3 linked regions of the Sus scrofa genome follow. The protein of the gene in region 1 interacts with the protein of each later gene in a pairwise test. Links are inferred from orthologs where the notes say so. Each region holds a gene or a part of one and is shown in the gene's direction. Other genes may lie near its edges.

Region 1 (3,636 bases):
TGACTGACAGGTGGCGGGCAGGCTCAGAGGTAGCCTTCCCCCTCCCAACTGTGTGGCCAGGCCTCCCGAAGGGGCTCAGGTGAAGAGAGTGGACTGGACCAGGCTGCTGCCACCATCACTGGGTGTGGAGATCCAGGCCATTCAACAGGTGGGCCTAACGCCCAACCCACTGCCAGCCGCAACTCTGACCCACCCCTGACTCTCACCCCATCCCGGTTCCCCAGGACCATCTCCGTCTTTAACCTCATCCCTAACCCAGTCCTTTTCTGGGCACCAAACCCTTCCTGGGTGCTCCCTCCACCCACTCCCCAACCCAGCCTCACACCAGCTCCCTTCCACCTCCTGTCCTCACACTTCAGCCCATGTCCAGCCCACCTCTTGCCTATCTTCTGCATTAATCTGACTCTCCCTGGCCTCAGAAATAACTTCTCTCCCAGAAACAAGAAGTGGCAGCCTCGGGTCTCTCCAGCCCTCTGTGTGGAGTGTGGCGGTGGGAGGAGGTCGTCCATGAAAGCAATGAGGAAGCTGAGTTTCCACCTGAAGCCCCACCTGGGGGGCAGGTGAGCATGGGAGGGGTGCTGAAAGGGCCAGGTCCGGGGACTGGGAAAGGGGCCTGGGACGCTATGTGCATCCCTCTTCCCCAGCCCAGGGCAGAGGTTGGCTGAGGGCCCGCTAGGTGCTGGCCATGGAGCCCCAAGCCCAACGGGACACCACCTCTCTAGGCACTTGCCAGCTGATGTGGGAAATAAAAATGAACATAGTGGGAGTTCCTTGGTGGCCTAGTGGTTAAGGATTTGGCATTGTTACTGCCTGAGAATTTCTGCATGCTGTGGGCGCTTCCAAAAGAGGGGGAAAAAAAGTAAACAAAGCAAACACATAGATTTTGTAGTGGTGGTGGTGATGGTTGTTTCAAAAACACTGGCAGGACTCACCTTATATAAAATGGTACTACAGTGAGAAGGGGGTATGTGAATTGTTCTTCCTGACACCATAAAGGTACATTAAGCGTTTATCTTTTTTTTTTTTTTTTTTTTTTTTTTTTTTTTTTGCTTTTTAGGGCTGCACTTGTGGCGTATGGAGGTTCCCATGCTAGGGGTTGAATCAGAGCTACAGCTGCCGACCTACGCCACAGCCACAGCAATTCAGGTGGGATCCGAGCTGCATCTGTGACCTACACTACAGCAATGCCGGATCCTTAACCCACTGATTGAGGCCAGGGATCGAACCCACACCTCATAATTCCTAGTCGGATTTGTTTCCGCTGTACCACAAAGGAACCACAGGTTTGTACAGGGAAACCAACATTTGAGTTTATTTTGAAGAGAAAAAGAGAGAAGTTGGAGTTCCCGCTGTGGCACAGTGGGTTAAGAATATGACCACAGGAAACGAATTTGACTAGGAAACATGAGGTTGCAGGTTTGATCCCTGGTCCCGCTCAGTGGGTTAAGGATCTGGCGTTGCTATGAGCTGTGGTGTAGGTCACAGGCGAGGCTTGGATCCTGTGTTGCTGTGGCTGTGGTGTAGGCCGGTGGCTGTAGCTCCGATTCGACCCCTAGCCTGAGAACCTCCATATGCCACGGGTGCAGCCCTAAAAAGACAAAAAAAAAAAGAAAAAAGAATATGATTACAGTGGCTGGGATGGTGGTGGAGGTGCAGGGTTGATCCCTAGCCCAACGCAGTGGGTTAAAGGATCCAGCATTGTGACCTGTGTTGCAGCTGTGCCTCAGATTCAATTCCTGGCCCAGGAACTTCCATATGGCGCAGGTGAATCATAAATAAAAAGAGAGAGAGCAGTTAAGTGGGGTGAGGGAGGAGAGGCCTCTCAGACAGCGGGAACAGTACAAGCAAGGACATGGAGCGTGAAAGCATATAACATATTTGGGGAGTAGAGGGCAGCTGGGGGTGGCGAGCGAGAGATGAGGTTGGACCAGACCAAGAAAGGCGTTCCCTGTCTCTGAAGCTGAGAGACTGCGCTGTTCTCCATCAAAGCACGGGAGGGCTGTGAGTGGGGAGTACCAGGTCAGCTCTAGATATGGGAAGCTGGCTAGGGCCACGTGGGCACCCACCGGAGGCTGGGAGGCCAGGGAAGAGGCTGGGGCAGTGGTCCAGAGGTAGCGGATGAAGCTCGAGCCAGGCCAGGGCTTGGGGCTGGAGCAAAAAGGACGGGCAGAGAGAATTGGGCCCGGGAAGATGGGGCTGCCGACCTGCTGAGGGCCTGGGTGCTGGGAAGGGCATAGACAGCAAGATGCTGAACTTTCCTTTCCTGACCTCCTAAGGTGGGCGCCCTGAGGGGTGGGGGGCGCTGCTTGGGGGCAGCGGGTGCACAAGGCGGGAGCTCAGGGCTGGATTTAGTAAACAGTGCCAAGTGGGTGGATGAGGCCAGAGTCAAGGTTGGGTGTCAGAAAATGGAGAGAGACCTGGGTCCTGAGGGAGAGCAGCTGGCAGGGCCGCCCCAAGACTGGGAACCTGGGAGGAGCAGGGGCCTGGAGGGCAAACGCTGAGCCTCTCTGGGGCCTGTGTGAGTGTGAGAGGGTTGGGAGGACCTGGGTCCCGGGTCCCGAGGAGGAAGGAGGCTTGGTGGGGTCCGGAGCAACCGTCCAGTGTCTGGTTTCTGCCCCCGGAGGGGTAGTAGAGCCATCCTTGAGAAGGGGTCCAGGGGGAGGCAGGTCTTAGAAGCAGCTGGTGAATTCGTGCAGGGGTTGCAGCCTGAGAAACCCGAGCTTTTCTTTCCCGCAGAACAACTTGCAGGGAGAACCAGCACACCCTCCTGACGAAAGGAAGGAGCGATCGATGTGGTGAGAAGAGTGGTCCTCCCTGAGCCACGGCTCTGCCTTGGGGTGACGCCCCCTTCTTAGTGGATAGAGTGCAGAGCCCGGAAGAGCCCTGAAGGAGCAGTGGGTCACTCCTGCCCTCGTTCCTTCATGCTGCGGCGACCCTGGGCCCGTGGACTGGGTTGAGTCAGACCCAGTCCTGCCCTCAGCACCTTCCGTCTGTGGAGGAGACAGCCCCTGACCCAGACGGTTCTGGGAGGACACCCAGAGGGGGTGGCTTTGCGGGAGGCCCTGCTTGGGGTCCAGCAGGGCTGGCATTCATGTAGGAGACCCTTACACAAGAATACAGCTGTCAGGCAAGGGGGACAGCTCAGGCACTCAGTCCCGGTCACTGAACGCACCCCTCCCACGGCTTCCTGGGATGAATGAGGCTCAGATTGTGCCCCAGGAGAGCAACCAGACAATTGGGAGACGTCAGGGGCTCTGGAATCAGACAGCCTGGGTTCAGATCCCAGCTTGGCTGCTTGGTGATGGGATGGGGTGAGCCTCTGCCCGGTGAGACCGTTAGAGGCTCACGTGCAACCTCTGAGGACAGAGAAAGCGCTAGATATCCGGTTGCCCCTCCTCCTCGGGGCCTCTGCCTTCCTGTGGTGCCTCTTCCACCCCCCCCCAACCCGCCCCCCTCCCCCGGCCTCCCTCAGGCTCCCAGCTTCGGCCACTAATGAGGCTGCTGCCTCGGCCTCTAATTGGACTTGTCTGGGAAAGCTGAGATCTGGCAGGATGGGGGCCCCAGAGCTGTGACCTCTGCTTGCGTCACCAGGGAAAGGGAGGAAGATGGGGCTGAGCTGCGGGGACAGAAGCTGGT
Region 2 (4,346 bases), on another chromosome or scaffold:
CCTCATCCTTCTTCAGCTGGTGATGCGGTACTGGGAGCCTGTACCCAGGGGCCCGGTATTGTGGGAGGCTCAGGCCGAGCCATGGGCCACCTGGGTGCCCCTCCTCTGCTTTGTGCTCCACGTCATTTCCTGGCTCCTCATCTTCAGCATCCTTCTCGTCTTTGACTACGCAGAACTCATGGGCCTCAAACAGGTGAGGCTCCCAGATCCCTCCCTGAGACCTCTGATTCTTTCCAGAACACCTCTTTCCCTTCCAAGGATGTCCCTCCTCCTCCTTCCTCTTGCTTTTGACTCCCTCGCCTCCCTTTCTTGTAAGATAGTCTCCCCCCAAAGGCCAGAAACCATGGCTCTTCTGGACCTGGGGAAAATTCAGGGGCCCAAGTCTCAGAGGGGTGGTTCTTGGATTGAACCTGAGTTATAGAAGGAGGGTGCCTGGAAGGGGAGGAAAGAGGCAGCCAAGTTGTGACAAGGGCTTGAGTCCACTTCTAAGCCGTTCTCCCTCTCCCAGGTGTACTACCACGTGCTGGGGCTGGGTGAGCCCCTGGCCCTGAAGTCTCCCCGAGCTCTGAGACTCTTCTCTCACCTGCGCCACCCCGTGTGCGTGGAGCTGCTGACAGTGCTCTGGGTGGTGCCCACTCTGGGCACTGACCGCCTCCTTCTTGCTCTCCTCCTTACCCTCTACCTGGGCCTGGCTCACGGACTTGACCAGCAAGACCTCCGCTACCTCCGGGCCCAGCTGCAAAGAAAACTCCACCTGCTCTCCCGGCCCCAGGATGGGGAGGCTGAGTGAGAAGCTAACCCTGGTTCCAAGCCCTACACTTCCTCTCCCTCCAATTCCAAACCCCTTCTCATCCAGGACCTGTCTGCTTCAGACCAGAGACCCAAATCCAAGGACTGAAGGACCTGTCCCTTCCCCTGCTTAAGCCTCTCCTTCTTGGGTCCAGCTCTAGACCCTAAATTGAGTTTCAGCTACTGGACGCCAAGGTCCACTTCTCACCAGCCAGGAAGAGGGAGTGGGAAACTTTATCTTTCTCCTCATAGTTTAGGGCTTGACCCTCCGTTTACAACCTCCTTACAAGGAGAAGGGCCTGGCCTGACCAATCCCCTGGCCCTGTTACTCGCCTCTGCGCCTCAGGGATTCTCTTCCCACATCTTGCTCCACCTCCTAGAAGCTGGACCAAGGTCTGCAAGTTTGACAATAGAGGCTGCCCCCCACCCCCCCACCCCAGGCTCCAGGCCTTGCAGCTGCAGGCCAGCCCCACCGCCTGGCCTCTCCAGCTCCATAGGCCCTTGCCCTTGGGCTCTATCCTCGAACTTAGTTGGGCAGATTCTCCCGCTCTTAATTCAGGTGACTAAGTGCTCCCTGCTCTCCCGAGGAACTCGCGCTACAAGAAAATAAAATCCAGCCTGGTTTTTCTACATGTAGCATGCAGTCTGTCCAGTGCCTCTCAAGCTGCAGGGCTGATTCTGGGAAGGACAGGCGAGCCAAGCCCGAGTCAAGGCATCCGCCGCGCCCTCTGGCGACCGCTGGGCGGCGGCCACTCCCAAAGGACCCACCCCTCCTTCAAATCCCCCAATTTCCTCGCTGCAGATTTGGGGGCCCCGGCAGGAGACAGGTTGAAGCTGAAGAGTGGGGACAGCGGCTCGGGTAAGAAAGCGAGCTTCCGAAACCTTTGGCTTCCGAGCACAGCTCCTGCCGATGCCCCACCACCGCCACCACCACGGGCCCCCCGTAGCCCTGCGGCCGCCCCGGCCCCCACACTAACAAAGGCTGGCCGGGGAAAGCAAAAGCGTGGGGAGGAGCGGCAGGAGATGGGAAGGGCGGGCCCCGCTCAGAGCAGCTGCTGCTTCCTCCCCAAGTCCCTCGAGGGGCCTGAGTCACGGGCCGCCGCCCTGGGTCGGCGAGCTGGGGGCGGGGGGTCTGGACACCTGGGTTATCCCGGGTTACCGGGCGGGAGCCGGGTGAGAGGCCCTGGGGACAGACAGCGTAAAGGCCAGGGCTTGCGGCGGGAAAAGAGGTGTCCGGGAGCCCAATCCCACGCGGGGTCGAAGAGGGCGAGGCTCCGCCCCCTAGTCCGGCTCCGCCCCGCGCCCCCTTCGCTCTTCCCCATTGTCCTCAGACAAAGCGGTCGCCGCCCCCCGCCCGGCCCCCAGGTCTCTGTCTCCGTTCCTCCTCCTCCGCTCCCTCTTTCCCTCCTCCTCCCCCTCCCTCCTCCCCTCCCGCCTGTCTCCGGATCTCCCTCGATCCCTCTCTCCTCCTCTTCCTCTCTCCTCCTCTCTCCGGACACCAGGCTCCTCCGCACCCCCGCCCCCGGGAGCCCCGCGGCGAGTGAGTTGACGGAGGGGCTTCAGACTTGGGGAGGGTGTCTCCTCTCTCCCGTCCCTTCTCCCGTCCCCGGCCCGGACCTTGGGCTGTCTCCTCTTTGTGCCGAGATTGCCTGTCTGTGCGGCCAGAGCCGGCTGGGGATGGCCGGCTATGTCGGGGTTCCGTGAGAGCCGATACCGGGCACGGGACTGGCAGGCTCCGGAGGCGTGGAGCTGGTCCTTCGCATGCCTGGGTCCCGGGGCACCGCCGGTGCAGGAGGCAGGCGGTGGTACGGGGACCGGGTGGGGGTGGACGCCAGGGTTCTGGGAATGTGCTGGCAGGTCTGACGCCCGGGTTCCGAAAGTCCCCGGGGGAGGGTATTTCCCCTGACCCGCCTCGGGGCGGAGTGCGGGGCGGGGGGTGGGGGCTGGGGGGCCGGAGAGGCGTGGCCCGAGCGGAGCTGGAAGGGGAGCCCGGACCTCCGGGGCCCGTGCTGAGACTCGCCGGGCTGCAGCCGCGGAGCTCCCTCACCCCTCTGCCCCGATTTCCCCTTCTCCCCAGGACTCGTCCACTCTCCGCCCTCCCACCTTCCCGACACCCGTGCAGATCCCACTGCCCCCTCTCCGGCGGGATTCCCTGACCTCTCCTCCAGCTCTCAGCGCTCCTGGGTAGCGGTGAGGCAACCTTGCCTGGATCCTGTTCCCGTCACCCCCAGCCTCTCTTTTCTCTTCCTCCCTCGCGCCAACTTCTTTCGTTTTTCAGTCTTCTCACATCCTCGGGACTGTCTGATGCCCATTAACCTGTGCTGACAAATCTGACTCCTACCTCTGCCCTGAATCTCCACTCTTCCTCTCAACTCCCTCCCCCCACCCCCTCTACCTGGCTCTTAGTTCCTTCTTCGCGTTCTCAGTGTTCCCCCTTTTCTGCCCTCCCTCTTCTCCCTCTTTCCCTCTGTCCTTCCTCACTCTCAGCTCCTCTGTCCTCTTCCGAGTCCCACCTCTCCCCCCACTTCCTCTCCGCCCACCCCTATTCTCACCCCCTGGGCCTTTCTGGAGCCTCTCCTTCCTGTTCTCTGCCCCCAGCGCTCCCCCACCCTCCCCAAGTCGACCATGGCCACCATCCCGGACTGGAAGCTACAGCTGCTAGCCCGGCGCCGGCAGGAGGAGGCAGCCGTTCGTGGCCGGGAGAAGGCAGAACGGGAACGGCTGTCCCAGATGCCAGCCTGGAAGCGGGGGCTTCTGGAGCGCCGCCGAGCCAAGCTTGGTCTGTCTCCTGGGGAGCCTAGCCCTGCGCCTGGGACTACGGAGGCTGGACCTCCAGACCCAGACAAGTCTGCCGTCCTCCTGGAGGCCATTGGGCCAGTGCACCAGAACCGCTTTATTCGGCAAGAGCGCCAGCAGCAGCAGCAGCAGCGGAGTGAGGAGCTACTTGCGGAAAGACGGCCTGGGCTCTTGGAGGCCCGGGAGTGGAGATCCAGCCCTGGGGAGATGAGGGATCAGAGCCCCAAGGAAAGAGAGTCTAGAGAAGAGCGGCTCAGTCCCAGGGAGGCCAGAGAGAGGAGGCTGGGGATAGGGGGAGCTCGAGAGTCAAGCCCCAGGCCTTTGGAGTCTAGGGACTGGAGGCAGAGCCCAGGAGAGGCTGGAGACCGGAGCTCCAGGCTGTCAGAGGTGCGGAAATGGAGGCTGAGCCCTGGAGAAACTCCGGAGAGGAGTCTAAGACCTGCAGAGCCTCAAGAACAAAGCCCCAGGAGAAAAGAGGTGGTGGAAAGTAGACTGAGCCCGGCGGTCTCTGACCACGAGAAGCTGGGCCTGACAGACGCCCATAAACGGAGGCCTGACTCCGGAGAGTCTCAGGAACAGAGTCTGGTGCTGGAGGCATCAGAGTGGAGGCTGAGCTCAGGAGAAGAAAGAAAAGACTGCTTGGAGGAATGTGGGAGGAAAGAAGAGAGGACACTTCCAGGGATGGTCCCAGAAGACATTACAGGGTCGCCAGAGACCCTGACAATGGAGGCTGCAGGCAGCAGCTCTGGAGGAGTGGAGGC
Region 3 (4,421 bases), on another chromosome or scaffold:
AAGAAAAGATCTTTCTTCTCTAGTTACCGTAGGGGCAGATGGGAATACCAAGGCTTGGACTGGGATAGAAATAAAGGGAACCAGCAGGAACGGAGAATTAGGTTACTTTTTCTGGGCCTTTGGTTAGAGAGTCCTCCAGATGGAGTTGAAGGAAGTGCCAGTTAAGAGTTGGTGGGCTCCAGTCAGAACACCTGAGTGTGCCCTCATGTGGATCAGTGATGGTCAGATGGCTTGCACCCCGTCTAAACATATTGCCATATTTATTTTTTTAATTTTTTTATTTAAAAAATTTTTTTTTGTCTTTTTGCCGTTTCTGGGGCAGCTCCCATGGCATGTGGAGGTTCCCAGGCTAGGGATCCAATCAGAGCTGTAGCTGCTGGCCTACACCAGAACCACAGCAACACCAGATCTGGGCCGCGTCTGCAACCTTCACCACGGCCCACGGCAACGGCGGATCCCCAACCCACTGAGCAAGGCCAGGGACTGAACCCGCAACCTCGTGGTTCCTAGTCGGATTCGTTAACCACTGAGCCACGACGGGAACTCCAACATACTGCCATATTTAAATAATAGACATTCATATAGGTGCATATATATATTTACACGTAACCTGAAAGGACAAATATCAGTTTTGACACTGGCAGCCTCCAGGAAGGGAATGGGAATTGTGGAAAAGGCAGAGGGAGGAAGATTGAGGACTTGTATTTTTTTCTCCGTATTTCTATACTGTCTGACTTTTTCATAGAGAGAACATATTCATGTGGCGTTCTTTTGTGGTTGCAGTGGGTTAAGGGTCCAGCACTGTCACTGCAATGGCTTGGGGTGCTGATGTGGTGCAGGTTCAATCCCGGGCCCCAGGAACTTCCACGTGCCAGGGGCACAGCACACACACCCCTCCCCCCAAAAAAGAAAGAAAACAAGTTCATGTGCTGAGTAGAAAGAATTAAACAGAAGATCTGATTACAAAAAAAAAAAAAAAAAAAAGAGAGAGAGAGAGAGAGAGAGAAAATGAAGAAAAGTTACCTGCAGAAACTGCCTGCGATCCAAGACCTGGCTCCTTGGTGCCTGGCTAAAGCCCCAACGCACAAAGAGACAACTGGGTTAAAGTTCCTGGAGAAAAGAGGAAGTGAGGTGTTTGGTATCTGTATCACATCTGCCAGGCCCACAGGGTGAGACACCTGGCAGGCAGTTAGTTCCCATTGGAATGGGAGCTGATCCTCTTTTCTGGCCCGCTGCTTCAGGGCTGGAGAAGTTCAACAAGTGCATGGAACATCAGAGACCTGGAAATGCTGAATTTGCTCTGAGGTTTCTTGAGGCCCTGTCGGCTTCTCTGAGTAGCCTCCAGGCTCAGGAGCCCTGCCCGGGCCCTCAATGCCCTCCTGGCCTGTGCTTCTCAGTCTCCAGCCACCCGCTTTCTTCCTGAGTGGTGGCCTTTCCCAAGCCTGCGTCCCAGCCCCGCCCCTCTCTCTGGACGCATCTCTGGGCCCCATCATCACCCGGCGCCGGGCCCTCCCTCCCGCCCCCCCTTTCTCCTCCCTCCTTCCTTCCCTCCCTTCCTCCCTCTCTCCCTCCCTCCTAGCTCCTGCACCAGGAAACGGCCCGGATCCCGGCAGCGGCCTGACCCGTGAGATCCTTAACCTGGCAGGCAGGCGGGGTTGCAGACTGGCTGAGGGTGGGGGTGAGGGAGGAGCTGGGCCTTTGGGCTGCACTCGGGGGGAGCCAGGAGTAGAGATGGTGTCGGCAGGAAGCCCTTGGCCCTGGGTTTCCCGGGAGGACAGTCATTAAACATGGATTCGGCCACACAGCTGGTAGAGCGTTGGGGGCAGGGCCCTTGTCCCGGGAGCTGCAACCCCAGCCCTTCTCAGCCCGGACCCTGATCCCTGGTCTTTCCCATCTAGCTCTGATCTCCCCCTCCCCTTCCCAGGGCTCCACGCTGGGCAAGAGGATGAAAGGCCCCAGCTGGGGGCTCCTTGCCACCAGCGCTGGGTCCTAAGAGCTGCCATCCAGGCTGGGTGAGTGTCCCCTTCCTTCTCTGTCCTGGGCAACCCTTGGCTTCTCCTTCTTTCCCTTCAGCCCTGTCTCCTCCCCCATCTTGTGCCTCTGTCAGCATCTTCACATCAGGCCTCTGGGGAGGCCCTAAGCCCCTTCCTCTAGCCAAAAAGGTGTATACCGTGGAGAGGGGGCTTGTAGGGATGTCACAGCCCTGCTGTTGTCTTCTTATGGAAAGAATCTAAAAAAGTATTTTAATAATGAAATTTACTTGTTTTACCTTTAATTTGGCATATTATGAGTTTTAAGGGCCAGGCCCTCATGCCCTGACCCCTCACCATGGCTTAATTTCCTTGTTCTTACCTCTCCCAGGCCAGTGGTCTCTGAGATTTCCTCCCCGCTCTCTCCCTGTCTCACTGGGCTGGCCAAACCTGAAATGCCCCCTTCTGAGTCTCTGACCCTATAATCATGCCAGTGTCTTTTGTGTTTGACTCTGACAGCCGCCCGGATGGCGACCCCGGCCTCAGCCCCAGACACACGGGCTCTAGTGGCAGACTTTGTGGGCTATAAGCTGAGGCAGAAGGGTTATGTCTGTGGAGCTGGCCCCGGGGAGGGCCCAGCAGCTGACCCGCTGCACCAAGCCATGCGGGCAGCTGGAGATGAGTTCGAGACCCGCTTCCGGCGCACCTTCTCAGATTTGGCAGCTCAGTTGCATGTGACCCCGGGCTCGGCCCAGCAGCGCTTCACCCAGGTCTCTGATGAACTCTTCCAAGGAGGCCCCAACTGGGGCCGCCTTGTGGCCTTCTTTGTCTTCGGAGCTGCACTGTGTGCTGAGAGTGTCAATAAGGAGATGGAGCCACTCGTGGGACAAGTGCAGGAGTGGATGGTGACCTACCTGGAGACACGGCTGGCCGACTGGATCCACAGCAGTGGGGGCTGGGTAAGAAGCTTCTCAATTGCTGTTCTGCACATCCCTCCAAAAAGCTGGTCTCCAGGGAGAAGATGGGGGCTCTGGCTGGAGCTGGGGGCAGCTGTGCTGAGAATGAGATGTGAGGTCTGAGTCTCCCTATTTGGGTGGAATGGAATGCCCTTGTCTGGGCATCATTGGACTCTGCCCTCCAGGGCTGCCATGCAGTCATCACTGGGTGGGCTCAGGGTCCAAAGCAGAGTACAGAATACCCAGTAGCCAGGTAGTGCCTGCAGGGAAAAGGCATCCAACTGTCAGGAACCTTTTATACCTGAGTGTATGGCATGGGGGGAGGGGGGTCAGGGATCAGGGATGGGTGGTGGTCAGGCGAGCCTTGGCAAAGGAGGCCCGTTCTGAGCAGAGTTTTTGGCCAGGGAAAGGATGGGATTAGCTTGAGGTAGAGAAGGACAAATGAGCCAGGCGCTCATGGGGGATCAGAGGGGCTGGCAGCCAGTAGAGCTTTGGCTGGAGAGGAGCTAGGGGTGGGGTAGTGCTTGCAGTGGATGGAACTGGAACTCTTCCTCTCCTCTTTTCTCCACTCTTTCCTCTCCTGATATCCCTTTCTCCTTCTTTCTCTCCTACTTCCCTTCTCTCCCACAGGCGGAGTTCACAGCTCTATACGGGGACGGGGCCCTGGAGGAGGCGCGGCGTCTGCGGGAGGGGAACTGGGCCTCAGTGAGGACAGTGCTGACGGGGGCCGTGGCACTGGGGGCCCTGGTAACTGTAGGGGCCTTTTTTGCTAGCAAGTGAGAAAGTCCAGGGCCAGGTGGGGCTAGGTGTGGCTGGGGGACAGGAGAGCAGGAACAGAGCAGAGGAATGCCCTTGGAAGAAGCGGGGGGTATGGAGGGGCATGGAACGGGGATGGGAAGGGGCAGGGTAGCGTGTGAGGGAGCGGAGCATGCCAGGCAGGCGGTTGAGAGAGTGAGCTGGAGACATTGTGGAATGTATTTGGAAAGTCTGGGGGCCAGGAGATGGAGTCATTCCAGGGTCAGGGGGAGGTGGGAGGGATCATGCCTATAGGTGTAGGTACAGAAAACTACCTGGAGCTTGATTTGCAGCCCCGAGGCAGCCCCGAGGCAGGTGGACTTGCTTAAGGGGTTGGCGATTTCCACTGAATGAGCGAGATTTGGGGAAAACACTGAGGGCACATCCCTTTGGCATGGGAGCTTGAGGTTTTCAGGGGATAGGGAGAGGGCTGTGACCGTGGGCACTGGGGACACAAGTGTGCATGTGCACGCGTGCTCGTGTGCATGCTGGGCTGCTTGTCTAATCTGGTGGTGGTGGGACTCCTCTAGGAGAAAACATTCCCTCTTGCGGTGGCAAGAACAAGGTGTGCAGCTCTCTGTCCCTCCCCCCCACCCCCACCCCCTTATCCTGCTGCCTCAAGGCTGAGGGAGAAACACTGTACCCAGAATGAGGGCTTTGGCTACTTTTCTGCAAAAGGTTGTCAGCAGGGCTTTGGAGA

What was found. The genes of interacting proteins can lie anywhere in the genome.
Region 2: the proteins of CCDC155 (region 1) and PPP1R18 interact in binary tests that used the Homo sapiens proteins (3 or more experiments, as listed by UniProt). The two-hybrid records come from large-scale screens. The link is inferred for Sus scrofa from reciprocal best matches to the Homo sapiens genes KASH5 and PPP1R18.
Region 3: the proteins of CCDC155 (region 1) and bcl-2-like protein 2 interact in binary tests that used the Homo sapiens proteins (3 or more experiments, as listed by UniProt). The two-hybrid records come from large-scale screens. The link is inferred for Sus scrofa from reciprocal best matches to the Homo sapiens genes KASH5 and BCL2L2.

What each region holds. Positions count from the first base shown.
Region 1 is NC_010448.4:54,493,950-54,497,585, forward strand, and holds part of CCDC155 (protein KASH5), read left to right. Parts: intron 1-60; coding exon 61-148; intron 149-437; coding exon 438-560; intron 561-2,736; coding exon 2,737-2,795; intron 2,796-3,636. UniProt on the Homo sapiens protein: As a component of the LINC (LInker of Nucleoskeleton and Cytoskeleton) complex, involved in the connection between the nuclear lamina and the cytoskeleton.
Region 2 is NC_010449.5:23,219,384-23,223,729, reverse strand, and holds the start of PPP1R18 (phostensin), read left to right. Parts: upstream 1-1,434; 5' UTR 1,435-1,648; intron 1,649-2,267; exon of another isoform or gene 2,268-2,329; intron 2,330-2,345; exon of another isoform or gene 2,346-2,594; intron 2,595-2,866; exon of another isoform or gene 2,867-3,387; 5' UTR 3,388-3,414; coding exon 3,415-4,346. Other genes in the region: NRM (nurim), read left to right, coding at 17-193, 509-790.
Region 3 is NC_010449.5:75,767,832-75,772,252, reverse strand, and holds the start of bcl-2-like protein 2, read left to right. Parts: upstream 1-1,509; 5' UTR 1,510-1,624; exon of another isoform or gene 1,625-1,645; intron 1,646-1,898; exon of another isoform or gene 1,899-1,924; 5' UTR 1,925-2,012; intron 2,013-2,489; 5' UTR 2,490-2,497; coding exon 2,498-2,929; intron 2,930-3,556; coding exon 3,557-3,706; 3' UTR 3,707-4,421. UniProt on the Homo sapiens protein: Promotes cell survival. Blocks dexamethasone-induced apoptosis. Mediates survival of postmitotic Sertoli cells by suppressing death-promoting activity of BAX.